Linked DNA regions of Saccharomyces cerevisiae S288C. Changing the gene in region 2 together with the main gene of any one other region gives a genetic interaction. Each region holds a gene or a part of one and is shown on either strand. Other genes may lie near its edges.

Region 1 (7,775 bases), on a different chromosome or scaffold from region 2:
TCTAGATCGATGTCGTTGAACTCATCTACTCTAAAAAATATTGCATCATCTTTTCAATCGAAGACTTCTAACAGCAGGAAAGCTACGCAAAAATATGATATAACTTCCAACCCATTCTCAGATCCTCATCATCATCATCATCATCATCACTCTTCAAACAGTCACAGTAGCCTAAATAATGTCCACGGGTCTGGAAACTCCTCAAGTGTTATGGGAAGCTCGTCTAATATTGGGTTGGGTCTTAAAACGAGAGTTTCTTCCACCTCATTAGCTTTAAAAAGATACACTTCGGTTTCAGGAACTTCTCTATCTTCTCCACGTAGAAGTAGTATGACACCTTTGTCGGCATCTAGACCTGTTATGAGCGCTTCATCAAAAAAACCTCAGGTATATCCAGCTTTGTTGTCAAGAGTCGCCACAAAATTTAAAAGTTCGATACAACTCGGGGAACATAAGAAGGATGGATTAGTTTACCGTGACGCATTTACAGGGCAGCAGGCAGTCGATGTCATCTGTGCTATCATTAGAACTTCTGATAGAAACTTAGCCTTGTTATTTGGTAGATCACTAGATGCACAAAAGCTGTTCCATGATGTGGTATACGAGCACAGGTTAAGAGATTCACCACATGAAGTTTACGAATTTACAGATAACTCAAGATTTACAGGAACAGGTTCCACAAACGCCCATGATCCACTGATGCTACTCCCAAACTCATCATCTTTTAATTCCGGGAACCACTCTTATCCGAATTCCGGAATGGTTCCATCAAGTTCAACTTCATCTTTGAATAGTGATCAGGCAACTTTGACAGGGTCGAGGCTACATATGAGTAGTTCATTGTCCCAGCAAAAGAACCCTGCAGCCATTCATAACGTCAATGGTGTGTTTACATTACTGGCGGAATGCTATTCCCCTACGTGCACAAGAGACGCTTTGTGTTACTCTATTTCGTGTCCAAGACGTCTTGAGCAACAAGCAAGGTTAAATCTGAAACCAAATGGCGGCCTGAAACGTAATATATCAATGGCATTGGATGATGATGACGAAGAAAAGCCATCTTGGACAAGTTCCGTATCTAAAGAGGATTGGGAAAACTTACCAAAAAAGGAAATAAAAAGACAAGAGGCTATTTATGAAGTTTATATCACGGAGAAGAACTTTGTAAAATCATTAGAAATTACAAGAGACACATTCATGAAGACTTTGGCTGAAACAAATATTATTTCAGCAGATATTAGAAAAAATTTCATCAAGCATGTTTTTGCACATATAAACGATATCTATTCAGTGAATAGACGTTTTTTGAAGGCTTTAACTGATAGGCAAAGAAGTTCACCAGTTGTGAGAGGAATTGGGGACATTGTTTTAAGATTCATTCCATTTTTTGAACCATTTGTTTCATATGTCGCTTCAAGACCATATGCGAAGTACTTGATTGAAACCCAAAGATCAGTCAATCCCTATTTTGCTAGATTTGATGACGATATGATGAGCTCCTCCTTACGTCATGGTATTGATTCGTTTTTATCTCAAGGTGTTTCAAGACCAGGTCGATATATGCTATTGGTCAAAGAAATCATGAAATCTACTGACCCCGAGAAGGACAAAAGTGATTATGAAGATTTAAGCAAAGCCATGGATGCATTAAGGGATTTTATGAAAAGGATTGATCAAGCAAGTGGTGCTGCACAAGATAGACATGATGTAAAATTGTTGAAACAAAAGATTCTTTTCAAAAACGAATACGTTAATTTAGGATTAAATGACGAAAGGAGAAAAATTAAACATGAAGGTATACTATCACGGAAGGAGTTGTCAAAATCGGACGGAACAGTTGTTGGTGACATACAATTTTATCTTCTAGATAATATGCTCTTATTTTTAAAGGCCAAAGCAGTTAATAAATGGCACCAGCATAAGGTATTCCAAAGGCCCATTCCATTGCCATTGTTATTTGCATGTCCAGGTGAAGATATGCCTGCGTTGAGGAAATATATTGGAGACCACCCAGATTGTTCAGGAACTGTAATTCAACCAGAATACAACACGAGTAATCCTAAAAACGCAATAACTTTCTTATACTACGGTGCCAAGCAGAGATATCAAGTTACATTATATGCTGCGCAATACGCTGGATTGCAAACGCTTTTGGAAAAAATAAAGCAAGGACAAGCAGCTATTATAAGCAAAACGGAGATGTTCAATGTAACGAAAATGAGCGATAGGTTCTTCGATTACACCAACAAAATTAACAGTGTTACTTCCTGTGATGGGGGTAGAAAACTTCTGATTGCAACGAACTCTGGATTGTATATGAGCAACATTAAAAGACAGCAGAATAAAGATCATAGACATAAAAGCTCTGCTTTTTTTTCAACTCCAATCCAACTAGTACAAAGAAATAATATCACTCAAATTGCTGTATTAGAAGAATTCAAATCAATCATACTTTTAATTGATAAAAAATTATACAGTTGTCCGCTGTCATTAATCGAAGCAGAAGGTAATGGGACATCTTTCTTCAAAAAGCATCACAAGGAACTGATCAATCATGTGAGTTTCTTCGCAGAAGGAGATTGCAATGGTAAGAGATTAATCGTGACTGCACACAGTTCATCGCATTCAATTAAGTACTTCGAGCATGAACATCCATTATTGGCCGAAAAAAATGGTAGTGGTAGCGGTAACAAAAAAAGTCTCAAGAAAAAAATCACCGAGGTTATTTTTGATTCTGAACCTGTCTCTATTTCATTTCTCAAGGCCAACCTATGCATTGGCTGTAAAAAGGGTTTTCAGATCGTTAGCATTTCACAGAATGCTCATGAATCCTTGTTAGATCCGGCCGATACATCATTAGAGTTTGCACTAAGGGATACTTTGAAACCAATGGCAATCTATCGTGTGGGAAATATGTTTTTGCTGTGTTACACAGAATTTGCCTTCTTTGTCAATAATCAGGGTTGGAGAAAGAAAGAATCGCATATTATTCATTGGGAGGGAGAGCCCCAAAAATTTGCAATTTGGTACCCGTACATCTTGGCATTCGACAGCAACTTCATTGAGATCAGAAAGATTGAAACTGGCGAATTAATTCGTTGCGTCCTTGCTGATAAGATTCGACTTCTACAAACAAGTACTCAAGAAATCCTGTACTGCTACGAGGATTATCGCGGGTATGATACAGTTGCGTCGTTAGATTTCTGGGGTTAAGATAGCAACGTATATAGACTTTCCTTATTTTCTTTAGAATAAAAAGCATAACTAAAGTTGTAAAAGGAGCAGAATTATGAATAATAAACATTGATGACAATAGTGGAAAACGACATAAATAATAATTTTATAATATAATAATGATAATTCACCGTCAGAGGGATTTGTATGCAAATGATTGATGACGCGAGAAAAAAAAACGCGAAATTTTTCTTCCCAAAGCTTCGAAGTTTTTATTCCGTCCACAAAGTGAAAAATTTTCAGAAAATTTTCCAGACTGTGAATAAACAAAAGGTTGGCTTACGCATTTGGCTTGTCTTTTTTTTTTTTCACAGGTTCTTAGTAAATAATTGTATAAAATATTTATCTGGAGTCTTCTGTTTGTTGTTTAGCCTTGTTTGAAGTTTTATTTAACTTATTACCCCAGTTAGGTACTGTGTATTTTCCGCATATCTGGTGTCTTTTTATTTGGTCATTGATTGGTTTTTGACAGCTCTTCACTCGCTTCAAGCTTACTTCTAGTTTATTTATTCGGCTTTTTTCCGTTTGTTTACGAAACATAAACAGTCATGAACACTACCACATCTACTGTTATAGCAGCAGTTGCCGACCAGTTCCAGTCTTTGAACTCTTCTTCTTCATGTTTCTTGAAGGTTCATGTTCCTTCCATTGAGAACCCATTCGGTATTGAATTATGGCCAATTTTCTCCAAAGTGTTTGAATACTTTAGTGGCTATCCAGCTGAGCAATTCGAGTTTATTCACAATAAGACTTTCTTGGCTAACGGGTATCATGCTGTTAGTATTATTATCGTTTATTACATTATTATCTTTGGTGGCCAAGCTATCTTACGCGCCTTGAACGCCTCTCCATTAAAGTTTAAATTGCTTTTCGAGATACACAACTTGTTTTTGACTTCTATTTCTCTAGTTTTATGGTTGCTGATGTTAGAACAGTTGGTTCCTATGGTTTATCACAACGGTCTATTCTGGTCTATCTGCTCTAAGGAAGCCTTCGCACCAAAATTAGTTACTCTTTACTATTTGAACTATTTGACCAAATTCGTAGAATTGATTGACACTGTGTTTTTAGTTTTGAGAAGAAAGAAGTTATTGTTTTTGCACACTTACCATCACGGTGCCACCGCTTTGTTGTGCTACACTCAATTAATTGGTCGTACTTCTGTTGAATGGGTAGTTATCCTACTAAACTTGGGTGTTCACGTTATCATGTACTGGTACTACTTCTTGAGTTCATGTGGTATTAGAGTTTGGTGGAAGCAATGGGTCACTAGATTCCAAATTATTCAATTTTTGATTGACTTGGTATTTGTTTACTTTGCTACCTATACATTCTATGCTCACAAATACTTGGACGGTATTTTACCAAACAAGGGTACTTGTTATGGTACTCAGGCTGCTGCTGCTTATGGGTATTTGATTCTAACATCTTATTTGCTTTTGTTTATTTCCTTCTACATCCAATCTTACAAGAAAGGTGGTAAAAAGACAGTCAAGAAGGAATCTGAAGTTTCCGGCTCCGTTGCATCCGGTTCTTCTACTGGTGTCAAGACCTCTAACACCAAGGTCTCTTCCAGGAAAGCTTAAATAGGAAGCGAGAATTTTTGACAGCGAATGAAAAAGAAAAAAATTAAATGTTAACATTTTCTTTATATTAAATATGTACGATAAATGAAATCATTATTATAGAAATGATAGATTATTGGCTTGGTGTTTTTCCCATTTTGATTAATCATTTCCTTAGCTGCCCAAAGAATTGCACGCTTACAGTGAGGAGTAGTGATACATTACAATTATAAAATAAAATTATATAGCAGCTAAAATTTAAAACAAACAGACTTTGTTCCTTTGTATGTCCTATGGAAGATACTGACTTGCAGTTTGTAAAGTGTCCAAGTCGTAATCCACTTTACTTGCCACGAATTGATCATTGAATAATTTAATTTTAATAATCTCTTGAGTTAAATCGGGATGTACTCTGGGAATGAAGTCATTTAAAAATGAGTACTCTCCCCTAATGGAGGAAGATGACTGACATTGCATTATCTTGAACAAAATTCTAATTATCGGCCCAGCATCATTATCTAAGTATTGGGACCAGAACGCGTTACACACAGGAACATGGATATCAAGTAACTCTTCAATGAAGTTCATTGGTTGTTCTAGCTCTCCAATAATAGAGTCCTCTGTTATTATTCTCTTCTTGAAACGGCCACTATCTCTAATGAAATTGCTTTGTTCACAATACGACCTGTAAGATATGGGTACGATGGAGTTTACTGTACTCAAGTAATCATATAAGTCCTCTTGAATGATTTGTAAAAAGATACTATCTATTTCCTTTGATATGGTAGAGTCCGATAAATGATGGGTATCGCTAAGAGAACCAAATGATAGGTTATTATTGCTATTCTGTGGTTGTTGTTCCGGTAATACAGAATTTTCTCCACCAGTAGGATCTATATCTATTCTTGATGCGGGCGTATTTGAATTCGAGTGGTTGTCGTTGTCGTTATCATGTTCGTTATCATTATTGTCGCTGTTGTTGCCGCTTCTATTGTTGATGTTGTTCGTCTGATTATCAGTGTGAATGTTCATGTTGCTATGATTGGAAGTATTATGACTGTTGTTAACGTTGCCTATTGTGTGTAAATTCAAAAACCTTTTCAATAAACTGAAAATTGATGTAGAAAGTTTGTCGACTATTTCAGAAAGTGAAATGGTATGAAAAGAATATTCCAGGACTTCTCTTTCGAATAAAATCGCAGGACACAAGAACATTGCTAAAAGGTTCATATCGTCTGAAAATAAAATGGTTTTGAATTCTTGAATTTTAGACAAAAATGTTTCAAATGGTGCAATTAACCGTTGAAATTGTAGGCTGCCCAAGGTGGACAACAGATGCTTTTCAATAGACATTATGGCGAACAAAACATAGGTAAAGTTTAAGCTTTTGGAAGAAGTAAAGAACTTTAGTATTCTATTGATGGAATTCAAAGTAATTAATAAATAGTCTATTATTTGAAAGTCGATTTCGTTGAATTTTTCAATTTGGATAGAAGATTGATATTCTTCTATTATGGGACGAAGGTTCAAAAAAGTTTGCAGTGAAACGGTGGCGGTAGAGTAACGGGATAAATCGAATTTCGAACAAACGAATTCGAAGCCAAATTTTTCACACAATGAACGGAATTTATCTAACTGCCACGAATTAGATTGTAAATCATCCAAAAAAGAATTGATTCTGGAAAAAATGGAATTCGAAATATCTATATTTGACAAATCAATTAGAGAGTCCAATAAAGTCAAAGGTTCTTTGGAGAATGATGATTGTCTCGGATGCGTAATATCGGCGGATTTAGGCGTACCGAACAATGGCAATATCGCAGAATTTATTATGGAAATAATGCAATTGTGATAATAGTTTTTAGCATTCGTATACGTATTCGGGAAAAAGGGTTGGCTATCCATTACGTTTAGTAGATCTACTATTTGAGATCTTGGTAGAGTGATAGAAATCACAGTATTTTGTAAACCAGGTAATTCTTGTGAGATTTTGAGCAGTTGAGCTGGAATAGATAGTTTGGGGTCATTGTTATATTCATGTAAGTTTTGGATGATAAGGGGTAAAGTCTTTACTTGGGAATGAAAATCATCATAGTACTGAATACTCAATATAGATATCGTGTTATTCCAAACGGAGTGGCTTAGAGAGAAAAAATTGATTTTTTGCATTTCAAATAATTGGTTCTTCAACCTGTTTGATAACTGATTAGATCTATCGGTTGGGTCCATTAGTAAGTAGTTTTTGTCGATAATCAACGACAAATCGGAATTGTTTCGCAAAGCTGTCCTTTGAATGATTCTATCGAGATTATATGCGATGGACCTGATAGCATTCAGAATTAAGTCATGGTCAATGAAGCTTAGTGAGTTGGCGTTCTGATTGATCAAAAGGCGTACGGCAGTGTTGTCTACGAACGACAGAGGCAAGTTTTCTGATGCAATTATGATCGCAAGCGACTGCACAAGAGGCAAGGCCATTTCTTTTTCCCTAGTTCTCTTCAAAAAGTCCTCGTCTATTTCCAGCAGGTTAGCAATGCTGTTCGTTGTGGCGCTACCGCCTTGATGGTTCTTCAAAGGTGGTCTGACCATAAAAGTAGAACCTGCTTCTACGCCCGTCCATCCGCTATAGTAATTGGCATTCGGGTCTATCTTATGCGTGCTCCACAAATGAGTTTGCGAGGCTTCCGCCATGCTTATGCTGTTTCCTTGCCGTCTTATTATCACACCGCAGTACTTGCATTTTACTGCCTCCAGCATCTTGTCTACACCCAGAAAATGGCCCAAGTAGCGTGACCTGTCTCTGGTAAGCATATATGCGGGCACCCATTCGCTACCATCCTCTGCTAACGACTCCCTTTCCTCATCTCTATCTCCATCTGTATCTGTATCCGTATTTGTGGCCGTCGTAGCCGCCGTCGCCGACGATACAGTTGAATTCATGGGAGGCAACACCAATCCTCTTTCAGCACTCTGTAC
Region 2 (2,886 bases):
ATATTCTTATATACATAACCAACATTTAAATGTCAATTTCTTCAGTTTCTAGCCCGCAGTCTGTACATCTTCTTCTTTGAATTTGATAACCGTCTTCATCAATACCTCCATCAACTGGATCACTAAAATGATGAATATGGGCTTTCCCATGCTTCTTTTCTCTTAATCTATTAGTATATTCTTGAGCTCTTGTTTTCAGTCGCATTTCCTTGATTTTCTTTTCGTATTTTTTCTCCCTTCTGTGAGCCTTTCCTTCTTCACGACGTTGCCATTCCTCATCTAAACCTTCTTCTCCACCCCATTTCTTGAACGCAAAGGCTTCCACTTCACATCTAACAAATAGTTGCATTCTTGCAAATGTCCCCGAATGAGGGTTCGGCTTTTCTAGTCTATGAAAGAGATCCTCATCATTCAATTCGGGGTCTGTTAAAAAGTAATCTTCCTTACATTCTGTTTTCGTCAGTAGTGCATACTTTTCTGGATGCTCCTTAGAACACTGTTTACAAACTTGTAACTTGAACACATCATGTAGCACAGGATCCATCTCAATATTAATATGACATTCAATACATTTCGGCGCCTTTGAAATATGCTCTGGAGGAGGTGCATTTTCGTACAGCATTTTCCGTTCAAGTTGTTCCTTTTTCCAGTCCTGTAGTGTCTTCTGCTTTTTAGATCCAAACTCAGATTCAAATTCTTGGTCATCGGTAAAGTCAGAATTTGGAAGCTTGTCCTTAGGGTTGATATAACCACCATTCAAGTTCTGCATGGTGGCAAAATCGTACTCAATGTAATCTTGTTTCCTTATGCTAGGTCTGATTCTATCCGTTGGCCTTTTGTCGAGTACCGACGCATCCCTTTTACTTCCATCAACTACTCCGCTACCATAAAGTGAAGTAGTGTTAGTGTTAGTGTTAGCAAGCGCAGACGGTTGTCCATTATGATTTGGCACATGTACTGCGGCTGCTGCATTATCATCCCGATTGCTGCCACTAGTAACTGCGAGAGGCCGGGTTTTTAAAGGTTCATTCCTACTTTCTATTCGATTCAATTGGTCGCTACTCAGTATTCCCCTTTTTCTTAACCGTTCTATTGCTAATTTCCTGTTAGCCTCCTGCACAGCTCATCTCATCGTTAAATTGTTAGTAAAAAGAAACCCACGGTTAAAATACAAACACAGAATCATTTTCACACATACTAGTTTGGCCTTTTGTTCGGGAGTCATAGCGTTACGTTCGATACCTTCACTACGAAGATCCAAACTCTTTTTCTAGTTCCGATAAATTCCTTACCTTCTTTTCACTTTCCTCTTTTCTCCCTACAACTTAGCAAACGTCAAACATGCTGTAGATAGAGCTTCTATAGAAGTACAGTTATTCAAACAAAAAAAAAAAAAAAAACAAGGGTTGTGGAGTATGCCACTAGCAGTCTGCTATGTTGATTCTGCTTATTATCAACGAAGTATCCCATTATGATCTTATGCAATGCACATTCCTGCCCTTACGCTCCAGGGCAGAATCGAACCACGGCCCTCGTATAAGCCGCAAGGAAAACTACCGGTGCTATCGTTCTCGTTTGGATGATTTTCAGTATGGAAGAATTTGGATAGATCTGCAGCGCCATGGTATATAAGAGAAAGAAGCGGTAACGTTTGACACTGGGTTCAGATCTCTCTTGTCGCTCAATCAAACTAAGACTAGCCCAGACCATTATAGCCATGAAGTTTTTCCCACTCCTTTTGTTGATTGGTGTTGTAGGCTACATTATGAACGTATTGTTCACTACCTGGTTGCCAACCAATTACATGTTCGATCCAAAAACTTTGAACGAAATATGTAACTCGGTGATTAGCAAACACAACGCAGCAGAAGGTTTATCCACTGAAGACCTGTTACAGGATGTCAGAGACGCACTTGCCTCTCATTACGGGGACGAATACATCAACAGGTACGTCAAAGAAGAATGGGTCTTCAACAATGCTGGTGGTGCGATGGGCCAAATGATCATCCTACACGCTTCCGTATCCGAGTACTTAATTCTATTCGGAACCGCTGTTGGTACTGAAGGGCACACAGGTGTTCACTTTGCTGACGACTATTTTACCATCTTACATGGTACGCAAATCGCAGCATTGCCATATGCCACTGAAGCCGAAGTTTACACTCCTGGTATGACTCATCACTTGAAGAAGGGATACGCCAAGCAATACAGCATGCCAGGTGGTTCCTTTGCCCTTGAATTGGCTCAAGGCTGGATTCCATGTATGTTGCCATTCGGGTTTTTGGACACTTTCTCCAGTACTCTTGATTTATACACTCTATATAGAACTGTCTACCTGACTGCCAGGGACATGGGTAAGAACTTGTTGCAAAACAAAAAGTTCTAAGCTGCCCGACCTCACGAAATCAGTCATGCGGTAGTCCATTATAATATAACTATTATTATTATTACTATTACTATTATTATTATTATTATTATTATCTATTGTTTATATTCTCTTTAGCTTTTTATCACCTACGACGACGGATATATTCGGCGTTTGCAAAAAGTGAAAAAGGCGTCTTTTGGTGGACATGAACTCAATCTTCAATTCTTTGAAAGCGGTGTATGCGTATAAGGCCTTTTAACCATCGTGCAAAACAATAAAAGACTACCAATAACCGACGTGAATCATGTCTGCACCAACTCCATTAGCAGAGGCCTCTCAAATTCCCACTATCCCGGCCCTTTCTCCTTTGACTGCGAAGCAATCCAAGGGGAATTTCTTCTCCTCAAACCCAATATCTAGCTTTGTTGTGGATACGTACAAACAATTGCATTCTCACAGACAATCTTTGGAGCTGGTCAATCCCGGTACCGTGGAAAACCTGAATAAGGAAGTCTCCC
Region 3 (7,894 bases), on a different chromosome or scaffold from region 2:
CTAGGTAAATCATTGTTCACTTTTTCACCGTTTTCATAAAATTCCTTTATTTGCCACAATCCTTTGGCACCACTGTTTAGTTCCATTAATTCTTGCATTAAGATTCCAAAAGACTGCTTACCCATGCTTCTCCATTTTTGTTCTCCACTGATTCTGTACATATAAAATATAGATTCAATGATATTCGAATCCAACAATCTTCTGGATTCTACCTTGTTGACCCAAAATGGCCAGTCTGGATGGTTTTTCCACTGAGAACCCATGGTATCGTCCGTTGTAATATGCGGTTTGATATCCTTACCAAGCGTAAAAACTCTACGTATTTGCGTTACTTCGTCGCCGTCTATTTCAGCAATCGATTTCGAGCTTCCAACAGTATCACCTTTTATGTTTTGAGTCTCTGTTATCCCATCTTTGCTTAGTACATTTCTCTTAGCTTTCTGGTCATTCCCACCTTTCCCATAATTCGAAACTTTGATCCCGACATCTAGGTCATTTTCAAAAGTTTCATATTCGCCGTTGGCAATCATTCGTGATTTAGTTTCGCCGTTAAACTCGCAATTCCCATTAGTCTCATCAGTGCAAGGGTCCAACTCGAATTTTTGAGGGAGCAGCCCGTCGAACTCCTCCATTAGCATAAAACAACTTTCTGTTATTATTTCGCTCATTTCCAATAGTGACGATGGTAAAATATATTTCGTGTTGACACCGCCTCGGTGGGGAACACGTGAACTTAAACCTAGAATGCCGCCAAGTCTGCATGAGTATAACGAGACATCGTAAGATTTTCTTATCGTGACATCTAGCTCATTAGTCGTGGGCATGAATTGAGATTTTGTTAGAATGGAATTCAGAAAATTAAACTTTTTGTTTTCCGTTTGCTTGGGCAACATGGGTCGAAAAGTCATGAATTTAAAAATGTTACTGATGGAATTTGTTAAAAACGTTTGCGAGTCTATTAATGATTTATCACCTACGGTGTTTTTTGTCGAATCTTTTTTAGTACCGTCTTTAAAGTTTCTTTTCTCAATTATTTCGTCGACTGCTTCTACCTCTGAACCAATACTGGGGTCCATCGTTGCAGCATTAGCATTTTTACTTGAGCCGTCCAGGATATCATAAGAAGATTGGAAGAGGTCATTGATTTTGAATAGATTTTCTAGAATGGGTACTGTTTTTTCATTAATTCTATAAGCCTGGTATTGAGATTGTTCTTGGAGGCTATTATCATCTATTGGAGGATTTAAGAATTTCCCTAACTGCTGACAGTGTACGAACTTGAAATTTTCATTGATACTTTTCATGATGCTGGATCCCTTTAGGTGTGCACCATTCTCAATTTCCTCTTGAGTTAATAACTGGCAACCAGAGGCATCAACGACGTCAGGCAGCATAAACTCCATATCAAATTCGTTATATGATTGACGTATAGTGGTGAAAACTCTTTCAACAGCATCAAAATACTTATTCAAACGGGTTAACTGTGACAATCTGATAAACGCGAGTGCCATAGTAGTCAATTGACCTGATGGAACAGTACGGTCTGGAAATCGATTTCTCAGATCAGATTTCCAAAAATATTTCAAAATAGGAATTCTATTAGGGGTATCAAATGATCTTAATATGAAATCTGCAACATGTTTTGCTTTGTTAAGTAATCGTTTATCCATAGATAATTCGTATGCAGACAGTAACCCTTCTAGGACACGGGTAGTGATGTCAGGAATATCAATAACTTCCATTGCTAACGGAGGTACTCGAAAGTCAAAATCTTCTATTATATTAACAGAATCTTGAAAAAGTTTCGTCTCGCCACATAGATACAATGTATCTAGAGAATCAATTAGATCTATGGGCCAAGTAGATTCCCTTCTGAGGTTACTTTTCAGCAGCAACTGCTCTTGGTTCCATGATTTCATGAAAATGTCCTTTATCTGTTTTATCATATCAACATCTGGTGGCAATTGCATTGCCGGCTGTATCTTATGAACGTCATTCTGGCTTATAGAAGTTAAGGAAGGTGATGAGTATTCGAACAAGACGGGATACTTTTCCTTATATGTCAAAAGAGACGAAATTGGTAAATTCGAACCAATCTGGTGAGACGATCCCTTTAACAGCAAGGGAAAGTACTTGTTTTTTTCTCTCAATGTAGCTGGATCTGACAAATCCACTGCAACGTTGCCATTTTCCTTGTCGGTGGCTATTCGGTCAGAACCGGTTGACGATAGGTCTGGAGGATCCAGTTTCGAAGAACCTTCTGTATTGTGCTCATAGTTGTTTATGGACGGTAGTGAGTCGTTTAAAGCGTACGAATTCAAGATATCGATTTCATTCTGGAACGTATAGTAAAACAATAGCGATATGGTAATGAAAAGTAAGAGAACCGATCGTACTCTTCTGAAAAGAGAGTATACTAATCGCGCTATGGACATAAGGTTTTGCTTATAGAGTAGTGGCGGCCTTTTTCTAGTTAACACTTGCGCTTCACCGAAATCTTGGGCATTTTAAAGCTTCCAGCTTCCTATTTGCCTGTTCTTAAATTTTCCAGCTCTTCGATTTTCTGTTTTTTTTTTCACTAGAATAGGAAAAAGAGCCATTAAATGAACGCAAAAATTTAATATACGAATAGCGCATATTGCACTAACGTGAGGTGTACATCATAATGATATGCGTATCTTAAAACATGTATGTGTATATAAATATATAAACGTTATTCGTTGTGTGAAAGTTCTTGAACGTGAAAGAAAGAAAAAAGATGAGACAAACAAGGCAACCGTATTCAGTTGTTCTTCTTGGTATTTGGGTCGTTTTCATAGATTCTATCATTATCATCACCTTCGACCTCCTTGATGAAATGTTCAACTTCCTTAACTTGAGCGTCCCAGGTCTCCTTAGCATCTCTTAACTTAGGATCAAACAATGAGTCATCTGGTCTACGGTAAGAACCCCCTAGTCTGTCCCACAGAGTGGTGAATTGACCGTAGTTGTAGTTGAAATATAGATGGTGAACCGTGTGGCAGGCAGTACCGTTGACGGCAGGATTGTTTGATAGGTATTGACCGTCATGAATCATAACAGTCCAAAAGTTAACAAAAGTGAACAGAATCAAATAAGAAACCTTGTGTAATGGCAGAATCAATGGGTAGATGTGGTACGAGATGGATTGCAAAAACCCGTCTACAGGATGGAAAGAATGAGATGCGAAAGGTGTGCAGACCAGCCACTTGTGATGAGGCTTGTGCAGAGCACGGTAGACCCTTGGCCAATGCAACCATCTGTGCGCTAAATACACACCGCAATCAGTGAAAAAGATGAAAGTGAAGTACTCGATAATGAGCTTCCTTACACCGTGGTTTTCATAATCAATCTTCATGTATAGTTTAGAATGGCCGTTCAATTCCATAACAAACCATGGAACGGTCAACATCGACATCCATGGGATAGCACTGACTGCCAACTTGATTTCCATTGCCATTTGGTTTTTCAAGTAACGAGGATGGTTGAAAATCGACTTGTCAAACACAAACACGTAGCTGAGACTAGCCGTGAATAAGTAAAGTAGTAAACCAAAGATCGTAACAATAACCCATAGTGAGAGGAATTCTCTCAAGATGCTGGAACGAGGCAATAGCGATGCAAAAGACGTCGTCGACATATCAAACAGGAATGGCACCTGCCCGTAGAACCTTCTACATTCTTTGACGGCATTCTTGGAGTTCAAAGTCTCCTGCAAAATCGTAGAATTGCTGAACCCACTGTTCAACCCTAGCAATTTCTGCCACTTGACAGGAATATTAGCTGCCAACGAAGCGGGCAGAACTTTAGCGTACAAGTCGTCTAAGACATAATGGTCAGCGACTTCTAAGACCAAATCCATATCTCAAATCTAGACGAATATTTTTCTTATTATCTTTTTTTACAAATGCAACAAACTGACCTCCTCTGCAACCACTTCAAAGAACAAGACAAATGTAAAGAATGAATGAACAAGTGAATGAAAAAACGAATTGATAAGAAAGATAGAAATCCGCCTCTAATATATACCGCGATGTTTCTTTCGACCGTTACATAATAGCAGCAACAACAATACCCGATCGCTGCTGAACCTCTTGTTTCAATGCACCTGCTGTTCTTCTTCACCTTCTATTGTGCCACTTATACGAGCCTGAATTTTTCGTTTATCGCAGCCATCGGCCTCGTATACACCCCGGTTGCCCTGGGGCGCAACTAAACGACCGAAATAATGCCCGGGAGTTTTCGGGTGGTCTGCCCCGGGCACCGATCTCGGTCGTTTAGGCCGCAGTGGGTCGTGCCACACGGCAGCGATGCAAGGGACAACGCGTCGTAACTTGCGATGCCCGACAATCGCAACAAAAGGCGTCGTTTCGCGGTTTTTTCGTATCATTTTTTTTTTCAGTTTTTCTTCTTTCGGCTATGAAAAAAATGGCAGAGCTGCCCTAATCTATTTTTATGGATGCCCTAATATATTGTCACTCTGTACGTAGGGCTTCCAGAATGCCCTTTCAGGAAGGATTCTAGCATAATAGACGCATCATATATTATAGCGTAGTGGTGCCAGATGCTGGGCTGTAAAAGGCTGTAGCAGTAACTGTAGTGTACTAAAGGCTCAGTTTTTTTTTTTTTCTTCTTTTACGTAATGGACGAGGTTGACGATATTCTAATTAACAACCAGGTGGTGGATGACGAGGAGGATGACGAAGAGATGCTGAGTGGGCTGGAAAACGACTCAAAGCAGGACCTCGAGGGGAATGATGACGGTGGTGAAGATGAAGAGGATGACGATGATGATGATGAGGACGATGATGATGACGAGGACGAACGAGAGGACGACGATGAACAGGAGGACGACGATGGTGAGGACGACGCCGCAAGAATGGATAAGACTGCTACACCGACGAATGAGCACCAGCATGATGAGCAAAAGGCTGCTGCTGCTGGTGCTGGCGGTGCAGGCGATAGTGGCGATGCTGTTACTAAGATTGGATCCGAGGATGTGAAATTGAGCGATGTTGATGGAGGAGTGGGGTCCAGGGAAGCATCTTCCTCTACACACGAAGCCTCTGCTAATGGAGAGGTTTATGAGTACTATAAGCACATGTTGAATGCCGCACAGATTGCGGATTCGTACAATATCTACCCCACGGCAGCCATACCCATCCAGACGCACGTCAATGCGTTGGCCGTGTCCAGGGGTCTCAAGTACCTGTTTTTGGGCGGTAGCGATGGATACATAAGGAAGTACGACTTGCTGAACACGCTTGAGGGGAAACTTTCTCTAACTATCCTGCAGAAGCATTCGTTGGCTGAGTCTATTCAGAACGCGGGTATCTTGCAGTCGTACTGGGAAAATGAGATCCCGCAGAAAAAATCAGAAATGAAACTCTCCGCTAATAAGACAGATTACGAGCCCAAAGTTAGCCCCGTTCATTCTTTGGAAGTCCAAAGCGAATGCCTCTTTATACTGAGCGGGCTACAGAATGGTGGGATTACCATGCAGGGCGTTCGCTACATGGAGGGGAGCATTGCGCACTATTTTAAGGGCAGGAATGGACATACCCAAATCGTTAACATACTGAGATTAAACGGTCAAGAGGACAGGTTTTTGAGTGGTTCCTGGGATAAGCGTCTTTTGGAATGGGATTTGCAGACGGGTGACATAGTTAATGAGTTTAAAAAATCAAGGTCTGAATTGTCATCTTTGGAAATGCGGCCGCTGTACTCGTCCGTGGATGTGTCCGGTAACGTCAACAGTGGTAAAGAGAATGAAAATGCAGATGACGATATGGATTCTCTGTTTGGTGATGAAGACGAAGACGAAAAGCAAGATGCTGGCAACGAACCCGTCGAGACGGGGGATGGTTCTAATGGTGAAGAGAACAAAGAACAGATATCTGAAGAATCTTTGAACATAGTCTATGATGAATCCGTTTTTATGACCTCAGGGTTGAACGGTTCCGTGCATATTTGGGACCGACGCATGACGCAGTCGCCAGCATTGTCTCTGGAGAGAGGTGCAGGCGTCCCACCGTGGTGTTTGTCCGCATGTTGGGGTGTAGATGGTGATCATGTGTATGCAGGGAGAAGGAATGCCTGTGTGGAGCAGTTTGACTTGAAGATGCCCTCGAAACCTATCCATAATTTGAAACTGCCTTCTATTTCAGGGCCTGTCTCTTGTGTTAAAGCCATGCCTAATAACAAGCATTTACTATGTGCATCGCGGGATAATATCAGATTGTACAACGTTGAAATTGCAGTAGATGCTTCGAATTCGACTACAAAGAGTTCTAAAGTGCCGTTCCTCATCGTGCCGGGCCATCACGGTGGTATTATATCAAACTTATACCTCGACCCCACTTCAAGATTTATAATAAGCACAAGTGGCAACAGAGGCTGGCAGGGGAATTCTACGGACACGACCCTTATTTACGATATAGACTTAGAATAGTGAGTTGTAATAATAATCATAACCATAATCATAATCATAATTACTCCGCGCGCCGTTTATTTTTTTTTTTTTTTTTTCAGGGCCACTGATCCCTTCATTTTGTGTCAGTAATTCAGGGTCCGGGCAGACAAAGGCATATTATACTATCAAAATTTGAATGAAAAGTAAAATGAATGGAGTTAATAATACGCTTCATATTAACAAAAGCACATAGACGCACGATACAAATACTAGTTCAAATTGTATTCCTAAGCCTTTCTTTCTTTTTTTGAAGGCAAGAACTCGCATTAGTTATGGAAGAAAACCAATTAACGTGCTTAATAGGTATGGCAAAGAAGTTTAAGAAAACAGACATTCGAACAAAAATTTACTAACATATAAATGTAAATTTAAATTTCCTTTTTTTTACAGTTGGAGAAACACCAGCAGCACAATTTCTAGGATGGAGACTAAGTTTGAGCAACTCTTTTATAATACTGGTCTCGCAATATGTGTCTAGTGACGAGTTAGTTGCCTGGAAATCGACAAAACTAGGCGCCAATTTCTACACGCCAAACATTCTCACTAAGGATATTAAAGAGCTGCACCACAAATTAAAACATAACGGTGCAAATACGTATTCAATTGACATTGTGTTAGTGTCTGCAATTTCCTTACAGTCTTTCGAAACAACTTGTCGATTGTTGTCAGATTACACGAACGACAATACGACTGTGCTTATTAGCACTGATTTTGGTTGCGAACTGGAGCCCATAGCCATAAGTTATTTTGGAGGGAAGTGCAAGTGTGTTATTTCCATTTCGTGTGAGGTTGAATGCAGACAGTTATCGCTTGGATCATATGCATTGGTCAACGACGATCAATGTGTAATAACTTTGGGATTAACTTATTGTGATGCTAATTTTGAAGCAAGTCCAACCATTCTGGAAAACACGAAAGCAGCTTCGTTAGAATTGCAAGGGATTAAGGGTTCAAATGTTCGCAGGTTCCTTCTTGGATTGACCGTTGCGAAATGGATGAAATCTAAATTAATTTTGGACCCAAAACAAATGGCATTGAAAATGTGGGAATTGCTTATTCCTAAAATCTCACTTAACATCCTTTCTATCATCTATGAACAATTTGATTATGAGAAAATGTTAGAAAACAAATCCACAGAAATTATTTTTAAAGATCTGGTGAAAGAGTTACTTGGAATTTGCTTTGCACAATGTGGAAGCAAAATTGCAAGGTTTTTGCTAGTAAAATCACAAGGTGAAGAAGAGATTAATTTTGGGAAAATCGTAGAATATTGCAAAGGTAAAAAACTGCAACTTATCAACTCTACGGCAAACGAACATCCGGAATATTTATCCTTACCGTTTGAGCCTTATTGTTTCTACCACCGATTTGAATATCCTGCTCAAATTCTTTTGCATCAGCCCA
Region 4 (9,209 bases), on a different chromosome or scaffold from region 2:
TGTCCACTCGAAGCATACTAAACCAGACCCTGCTAAGGAAAGTTTGCCAAGATTAGCTGGTTGGTGGGGCAATGATCCTGCTAAGCGATTTCAAATGCTGGAAGTATTCGAGCCGATTCCAGGAGCATTGGGATTCAGGCAATCTAATCCAAGCGTTATTGACACAGTGGCATTGAGAAGTTCATTGGAATTATTTGCGAAGTTTAATGGTATTAATGAAGTTCGTAAAAGATCGTTGTTGCTGACGAACTATATGACGGAACTGTTGGAAGCCTCCAAGTATTACAAACACCCTTTAAGGATCGAGAAATTACCATGTTTTTTTACAATATTAACTCCAACAAGCACAGATGAAGAACATGGCGCCCAATTGTCACTTTACTTCGATTCTGACACTGGAAAAGAGGATATTATGCCCAAAGTTTTCCAATATTTGCATGACCATGGTGTCATTGGCGATGCAAGAAGACCAAACGTAATTAGATTGGCTCCTGCTCCCTTATATAATACATTTTCAGATGTATACATTGCGGTGAATGCACTAAATGAGGCGATGGATAAGTTGTAGTCCTAGAGTGACCGCATCGCCTTCATCTTCTTTTGGATATTATATATGACGTAGTTTGAAATTCGTATACTTACTGATAGCGAACCTATAAATTTATACTTTCTTTCCAAGAATTAAAATAAATATCTGGGCCCGTGTATTACTTACCAGTTGCCGTGCATAGTCGTGAATCTTCTTTCATTTATCAACCTTCTTCCAATAATGAAGCTAACTTATCAGTGGTAGTACTGTTGAACGAAACAAGCCGGAACTCAAAAGGGTAATTTCGTGAAAAACAATCATCTACGGTATAAATAACAATTTAATTTACGTCTCTTTCGAAAATGCTCGTGTAGCTCAGTGGTTAGAGCTTCGTGCTTATAGCAACATTCGGTTTCCGAAGTTTCTGTGCCAAAGACCTTTCAAACAGGCCTTTAAAAGCAACGCGACCGTCGTGGGTTCAATCCCCACCTCGAGCACTTTCTCTTTTTTTTTTAAAAAAAGTTGCATTATTTCTATCAACTGTTGTAGCTACGTTACACCTAATTTTGTATTGTAGACTGTTAGATAATCCACATATACAGGTAAATACGGCACATTGTCTTCTAAACATCGCATTAAAGATGTCTTCCACCGTCGATTCAAGGGTCATTCAATACGGGTAATACTGCTTCCATTGGGCCCTTCCAAATGAAACAAGATACGGGAAAAAGTGATAAAAAAAAGCAAACAAGGTTGATTGATCGATGATAGACGCGATTCTTGGAAAAGGCAAGAGCAGCGTTTTGATAAATAGGTTCCAGGTGTACCGAGATATACTGATTATCCTTCTCTGTCATTCTTCACTTTTTGCAATAGGTTTCCTTTGTCGCAAAAAATTATATTCGTTATTTATTATACTATTCTATTTTCCTGAGGAGATAGGTTAACAAACGAATTAGAGAAGCAAAACTTATAAAACAAGAAATAAACGTATTAGCTCTTCCACAAAATGCAAACGCTAAAGTGTGTTGTTGTCGGTGATGGTGCTGTTGGGAAAACGTGCCTTCTAATCTCCTATACAACGAATCAATTTCCAGCCGACTATGTTCCAACAGTGTTCGATAACTATGCGGTGACTGTGATGATTGGTGATGAACCATATACGTTAGGTTTGTTTGATACGGCCGGTCAAGAAGATTACGATCGATTGAGACCCTTGTCATATCCTTCTACTGATGTATTTTTGGTTTGTTTCAGTGTTATTTCCCCACCCTCTTTTGAAAACGTTAAAGAAAAATGGTTCCCTGAAGTACATCACCATTGTCCAGGTGTACCATGCCTGGTCGTCGGTACGCAGATTGATCTAAGGGATGACAAGGTAATCATCGAGAAGTTGCAAAGACAAAGATTACGTCCGATTACATCAGAACAAGGTTCCAGGTTAGCAAGAGAACTGAAAGCAGTAAAATATGTCGAGTGTTCGGCACTAACACAACGCGGTTTGAAGAATGTATTCGATGAAGCTATCGTGGCCGCCTTGGAGCCTCCTGTTATCAAGAAAAGTAAAAAATGTGCAATTTTGTAGTCATATTAGTATATGCCCATCTTTTCTTAATCTATATCTAAAATTAACTTATATATACACCTTCCTATCCTTTTATTATCGTTGTATTTCATTTTTTCGCTTTGCTCAGAGTTGATTCTCTTTGTTTCTTGCGCCAGGATCATCCGTCTGTTCAAGGCGGAGTAGTGCAAAAAAGTCGAGCCGTCAAGCCCCAAACGTTCAATACTTCCATGTTCTTCAACGCTAAACGCGACATTTGCGAGTCCTACCACGTCTTCTCCGTTTACGGGCAAAAACACCTCTTAACATCAAAAATTTGGCTTTCGTGCTTTTTTCTGAAATATATTCGTTGCATAGACACGGTATGCATATGAAACATTCAGGCTAGCAATCAATACTTAAACCCTTTACGGGCGTGCATGATGTATCAGGAAACCAGTTTGAGAATGTCGCCCACCAAGCTCCATGGAAAGGCGCAAACCAATTACGCGGAACACAAAAATGGGCCTTTTTTTGATCGCCTCAAAGGCCGGACCAGGTTCGTTAAACGTCTGTAGAGGTGCCGAACAATTTTTGTCTAGAATAAATTTCCATTTTTCTGGCATTTAATTCTAGGCTTTCTGGTCTCTTTGTTCTTGCAGCTAGCCCATTGGGTGCTCTTCAAAATATGTCAATATCACCTTGATTTTGAAAATGCGCCCGTAAAATTGGACTTATGCTACAAATATATTCTACAGGAAAAGATCCGCAAGGTCTGCTTTAGCGTAAAAACGACCTCCCAGTATTTTATATAACCTCAGCCATTTCACTGAATGATACATAGTAGCATATATAGCTAGGCCTAAATGTATTTTTTTTTACAACTTTTTAGATCGCTGCGTGAAGGATGAAACTTCATATGAGTACGGACGTTTGAAAGGGTAGAGTGGCGCTAGCATAGAAATGCCATTTCTCGGAGGTGTCATCATTCGAAAAGAACTCAATTTTCAAGCGATTGAGATTCAAAGGCAAACCGATGCCTCCTCATTGGTCACATCTTCATGTAAACTGTGGCTGCTTTTTTTTCTAAATACTCTATGACTACAGCTTTCCTTTGTACAAACTCAAGTTTATTTAATCGTCTTTTTTAATGTTTATGTTCAACATACCCGAAACCACTACAAGACGGAAAATACTAGAGAAACATCAACAAATGAAAAAAAAAGGCTACAATCCTCGGATGAAACTGATAAAAACGAGCACAGTATATGCCGAGTCGTAGCATTTAACGTACTAACACTACTCGCCAAATCATAAGAGCTTCATGCTGACGTGTGTATCTATATCGCTTTTACAGATCCTGCAACCGACAGAGCCGAAAACGTAATTGGTGACTCGTTCCTCGTTCTTGTCGGAAAAATTTAAACGAGCGCGTTCGATAAACTCAACGAAGGCAAGTTTGAACAATAGATGTTGGTCGTAATCATTCGTTCTTCGACTTTTATAGCCTTTTTTTTAACTTAACGAACTCGTACTATCTAATAGTTTATTTCCCCTTGTTTTTTTTTGTTACGATTGGGGAAAAGCAAGGGTTCCCTGCGTCTACGATTACATCATCTACTAACTAGTCACCGAAATCGATTATCGTCGAAGGAGAAGCAACCAAGACCTCCACTTTTCAAAGGCACAAATAACATTTCGCCTTTACATAATATAGAGGAGTTAAGTCGACGGTTTTTTTCATTTAAGGTTTATATTTCGTTTATCCATAGATCTCCATCTAACATAACATGACATCCGATGATGGGAATGCTGGACAAGAAAGAGAGAAGGATGCTGAACTGATTGAGGTTGGGGGCAAGAAAGTGAGCAAGACTTCGACAGGGAAACGGAAGTTTCATAACAAGTCCAAGACCGGTTGCGACAATTGTAAAAGAAGAAGAGTAAAATGTGATGAAGGCAAACCATTTTGCAAGAAATGTACAAACATGAAATTGGACTGTGTTTACAGCCCTATTCAGCCAAGAAGAAGAAAAGATTCTTCGTCGTCAAAATTTGCATCAGCGGTCCACGATAGGGTAGGCAAGAAAAATCTGAGTGACAATGCCATCATGTTACAACAACAACAACAGCAACTTCATCATCAACAAGAACAGCAATTTCGTCAACAACAGCAAGTTCAGTTACAGCAGCAACTGTTGCCACATGTTGGTACTGATGAACAAAGCAATTCCCCTAATAGCGTTCCTCCATCCGTATCCAATAATATGGAGAATCTTTTGTTACCGCACCTATTAGCGAGTTTAGTGAATAACACCAGTAACAGTACCAACAGCAGTGCAAATGGAGCTGAAGCGCATAATAATATAACACAAACAGCTCCCAGTTCAATGATAAACAACAACCACCCAAACATGGCCCTACCAGGGAATTCGCCATTGAGTATACCGATAACACCTAGTTTTCAATCAACGGCCATGAATTTATCAAGTAGCCTTAACGGCTTACTCTCGCCTGGTAGGCTAAATTCGGTGACGAATGGATTGCAGCAGCCACAACTTCAACAACAAAATCAGCAAATTCCACAACAACAAGGAACACAGTCCCCCTTCAGCAATATTCCCTTCGACCAGCTAGCGCAATTGAACAAGATGGGCTTGAACTTCAATATGAAGAGCTTCAATACATTATTTCCATACGGTGCTGCAAATGGAATGGCCTCTGAGTTTCAAGAGTTATTTGGCCTCGGAAAGTTTGCTACATCTAATAACAGAGCAATCAAAGTTAGCACAGCAGAGGAGGCACTCGCAAATATGCAACAGGAACAGGAGGACAAAAACAAGCAATTTACGAAGAACCCATTGGATAATACTAAGACGGATGCTGTTAATTCGGGCAATAACCCCCTTAACGGAAACGAAAATAAAGTTACTGCTTCTGATATACTATCTCATAACAAAAACTTGATAATCGACAATACCGGTCTCACAATCAGTCCCCCACACACGTTGTCCAAACCTTCCATAGATCAAAACATTGCGTCCCCTTCAACGGGAGTATCCAATGTAACCTCTACAAAGTCATTGTTATCTATACCGGACAACAGGACCGCTTTGGGAAATTCTCCTACTTTGAAGACGTCCCCAATGGGTGACCTGTTATCCAACTCGGAGGCATTGTCTCCACGTTCATCAAATTCTCACACTCAACAACAATCTTCTCCCCATTCAAACGCTTCATCAGCCTCACGACTAGTCCCTGAATTAGTCGGGCTGTCTAGAAAATCAAATTTGAATTTGATAGATCTAAAACTTTTTCATCACTATTGTACTGACGTATGGCATACCATAACCGAAGCAGGCATTTCTGGTCCTGAAGTATGGAGCACTTATATTCCGGATTTGGCTTTTCATTTTCCCTTCTTGATGCATACAATTTTGGCTTTTAGCGCCACTCATTTGTCCAGAACTGAAGCCGGCTTGGATAACTACGTGTCTAGTCATCGTTTAGAAGCGTTGAGACTGTTAAGAGAGGCTGTGCTCGAAATTTCAGATGATAACACAGATGCTTTGGTGGCTAGTGCTCTAATATTAATCCTAGATTCATTGGCAAATGCTTCAAGCAGCTCACCAACGGCATGGATTTTCCATGTTAAAGGCGCCGTAACTATACTAACTGCTGTATGGCCCCTGTCGGAGACATCCAAGTTTTATAACTTAATTTCTGTTGACTTGAGTGATTTGGGTGAAGCTGTAATCAACCAAAGTAATCATAATAATGATAATGACAATAGCAATAATGGTGATGGAAATAACAATAATACGATATCGGAACTCGTATGCTTTGACGAAAGTATAGCAGATTTATATCCCGTAGAAATTGATTCACCGTACTTGATAACTTTAGCATATTTGGACAAACTGCATCGCGAAAAAAATCAATTAGATTTTATGTTGAGAGTCTTCTCATTTCCTGCTCTTTTGGATAGGACTTTTTTAGCATTATTAATGACAGGCGACCTAGGGGCCATGAGAATAATGAGGTCTTACTATACATTATTGAGAGGTTATACCACAGAAATAAAGGACAAAGTGTGGTTCTTGGATAGCGTATCACAGGTTTTACCACAGGATGTTGATGAGTATAGTGGAGGTGGTGGTATGCATATGATGCTGGATTTCTTAGGAGGTGGGTTACCTTCTATGACCACTACAAACTTTTCAGCTTTTATGTAATTTATCAAAATATAAACTCTTTTCTTTCGATGGGTCAGTGCTACAGAATGTGAACCTCATCGATGAATAACTACATTATGTTACTTCCGAATATACTGGCCATTTTGAGGAATCCACAAAAGGAAATGGATACTTATACATAGTAGTATTATTATTTCTTCTTTCGTTTTTATATGTTGTCAAGTGATCATTAATAATAACATGAGTTGTTATGGTAACAATTTAAATGTTTACATAGTATATTGAGGTACACCCGGTATACGTTTATGTGTAAATGCACTAATCACAGGATAAAAACTTAAGCGAGCAATTCAGACAATGCTGAGCTGAGTTAAAGATATATTGATTGAACATAATGTGGTAGCTACTTATATATATGAGGAATACGGGTCACCACACTAAATACATAGTAACTACCAAAGGCACTTTTATGTTAATAATAAATAATAATGAGCAAATCTAATGCTTTCTTGAAAAATAGGTGGATTTTATGGGTGAATAATTGAATAATTGTTGGGATTCTATTGTTAAAGGCACTAATAGTGGGCATACGTTAATGTGCCAGGAGAATATAGCAACATTGAAGGGAAATGACATCTCTACAGAGCATCACTATTTTTTCTTCTTCAATTTAATTGTTGTTACTCATTATCCTATTACATTATCGATCATTGCATTTCAGCTTCCATTAAATTCGATGACTGTTCCTCAATTTTTGACGTCATCTTCTTACGCCGTATATGATAAAATAAATACTTGTACATAGGTGATTTTTGTCCGTATCTCAGCAGTTTTATATTTTTCTCTTATATTGCATGAAAAGATGGATATTCATTCTTCATTAATACTACCAATTAACGGCATTTCATTATCCATTACAATTATTTTTTATTCTCGCTTTCAAACTATTTACTGACGTCTAGTCTGACCGAAAACCAAAGAGTTCACATCTATTCTGAGAAATGGGTGAATGTTGAGATAATTGTTGGGATTCCATTGTTGATAAAGGCTATAATATTAGGTATACAGAATATACTAGAAGTTCTCCTCAAGGATTTAGGAATCCATAAAAGGGAATCTGCAATTCTACACAATTCTATAAATATTATTATCATCATTTTATATGTTTATATTCATTGATCCTATTACATTATCAATCCTTGCGTTTCAGCTTCCACTAATTTAGATGACTATTTCTCATCATTTGCGTCATCTTCTAACACCGTATATGATAATATACTAGTAATGTAAATACTAGTTAGTAGATGATAGTTGATTTCTATTCCAACATACCACCCATAATGTAATAGATCTAATGAATCCATTTGTTAGTTAATAGTTTAAATGTTTTTATCGGAAGAGGTTTTGTCATCACATCAGCAATGTTCTTCTTGGTCTCGATGTAGTATACGTATAGATTATTACCTGATACTTCATCTCTAAGTCTCATTGCCTTTGTGCCAAAAAATCTGTTTCTAAATTTCTCTTCATTTGTAGACTTAATTATACTGATCGTTGATCTACTATCAGTAAGTAAGCCTTTAATAATTGGTTTCTTGTTAAGTTCTTGCACAAGGTGACTGAGGTTATTCAATAGCGGAATAGCTTCACTGACTGCGTGTATTTCTGCTTCTGTAGTTGAAGTGCATGTTAACGAAGCCTTTGTCGACTTTCCTCCAATCACTTTTCCGTTGAGTAGGAAAATGTTACCAATTTGTGACTTGTAATATGGTTGGTTACCATATGAAGCATCGCTTATTGCGACTAGTTTATTATCTGGCTCGGTAGGTTTGTTTTTGTGCCATATCAGTTGTTTATCTCTAGTGTCCCACATGAATTGTATTAACTCATATGTCATGTCTAAAACTTGCCTAGAGGGGAATAGTATATGTTGAGCAAGTGTGTTGATGTAGTATAGTAAGTCAAATCTAAATTTATATCCAACATATGAAGCTAGACCAATCAACTTTTGCATTTCATGTACCTTCTCTTTGTATTCATCTTCATCTATTTCTAGTTCATCCTGGTCTATATAAAGACCTGGTTGACCTGGAGCGCTAAGTTTTCTTCCTTTTGGATTCAAAGGTACGTTTAATTTGGGTATTTTCTCAGTTAATGAGTTTTCCATACCTAATTTCATGTATTTACCTCTTTGATATTTGATTTCTAAGCCAAGTATGTCGTACTGAATTTCGTTATCACTTTCACCCAGATTTATTATCTTTGTATCGTATTGTTTCTTGAGTGTTGTTATGATTTTCTTATTTGCATTTAAGTCTTTGCTGAACAATATCATATCATCAACGAATAAGCAAATTGTTACTTGACTATTCTTAAATACGCATGACCATCCACGAACTTCTTCCATACCACACTGTTTTATCAGGTATGATTTGATAGTTTCGTACCAGTTCGCTCCACTTTGTTTCAATCCATAATGTGATTTCTTCAAACGTATCAACTTATCATTCATTCCTAAATGTGGTGGAGGTCTTATGTATAATTCTTCTTTGATGTCTGCATACAAATATGCCGAAGATATGTCTAATTGTGTAATATAGTAGTTATTGTCTAATGCAAGTGACAGGGATGTCATCAACGCATAATGATGTACAGTGTTGGATTGCATACCTGTATCGTACGTATCAGGATGCTGAATGTCACCTCTTGCAACAAATCTAGCTTTATGAGTTCCGTCACGTTTCTTGTTGAAGATAAACATTGAGTTTATTACTCTTTTAGGGTCTATTTCTTTTCTGTCATAATATTTGTCAGTGTCCCAAGTATTCATTTTCAATAGTTGGTTGACTTCTTTGTGGTATGCTTCGATATATTTTTCCTTTTCTTTAATATCTTTATTATAGGTGATTGCCTCATCGTATCTTAAGGTTGTTCGTATTGG

Evidence for each region.
Region 1: of ERG2 (region 2) and ELO3, a mutation in one rescues a mutant of the other (synthetic rescue), as found in Saccharomyces cerevisiae (5 studies listed by BioGRID, with this or other methods).
Region 3: mutations in ERG2 (region 2) and ERG3 together harm fitness more than expected from each alone (negative genetic interaction), as found in Saccharomyces cerevisiae (5 studies listed by BioGRID, with this or other methods).
Region 4: mutations in ERG2 (region 2) and ECM22 are lethal when combined (synthetic lethality), as found in Saccharomyces cerevisiae (3 studies listed by BioGRID).

What each region holds. Positions count from the first base shown.
Region 1 is NC_001144.5:863,572-871,346, forward strand, and holds ELO3 (fatty acid elongase ELO3), read left to right. Parts: upstream 1-3,782; coding exon 3,783-4,820; downstream 4,821-7,775. Other genes in the region: Rho family guanine nucleotide exchange factor ROM2, read left to right, coding at 1-3,213; VID22 (Vid22p), read right to left, coding at 5,091-7,775.
Region 2 is NC_001145.3:665,820-668,705, forward strand, and holds ERG2 (C-8 sterol isomerase ERG2), read left to right. Parts: upstream 1-1,717; coding exon 1,718-2,386; downstream 2,387-2,886. Other genes in the region: DNA repair protein RAD14, read right to left, coding at 26-1,114, 1,199-1,225; TOM complex pore protein TOM40, read left to right, coding at 2,673-2,886. UniProt on the Saccharomyces cerevisiae protein: C-8 sterol isomerase; part of the third module of ergosterol biosynthesis pathway that includes the late steps of the pathway. ERG2 catalyzes the reaction which results in unsaturation at C-7 in the B ring of sterols and thus converts fecosterol to episterol.
Region 3 is NC_001144.5:249,847-257,740, reverse strand, and holds ERG3 (C-5 sterol desaturase), read right to left. Parts: upstream 3,881-7,894; coding exon 2,783-3,880; downstream 1-2,782. Other genes in the region: putative mannosidase MNL2, read right to left, coding at 1-2,435; SAGA complex subunit SPT8, read left to right, coding at 4,661-6,469; OSW2 (Osw2p), read left to right, coding at 6,763-6,793, 6,881-7,894. UniProt on the Saccharomyces cerevisiae protein: C-5 sterol desaturase; part of the third module of ergosterol biosynthesis pathway that includes the late steps of the pathway. ERG3 catalyzes the introduction of a C-5 double bond in the B ring to produce 5-dehydroepisterol.
Region 4 is NC_001144.5:597,117-606,325, reverse strand, and holds ECM22 (Ecm22p), read left to right. Parts: upstream 1-3,862; coding exon 3,863-6,307; downstream 6,308-9,209. Other genes in the region: BNA5 (kynureninase), read left to right, coding at 1-568; Rho family GTPase CDC42, read left to right, coding at 1,539-2,114.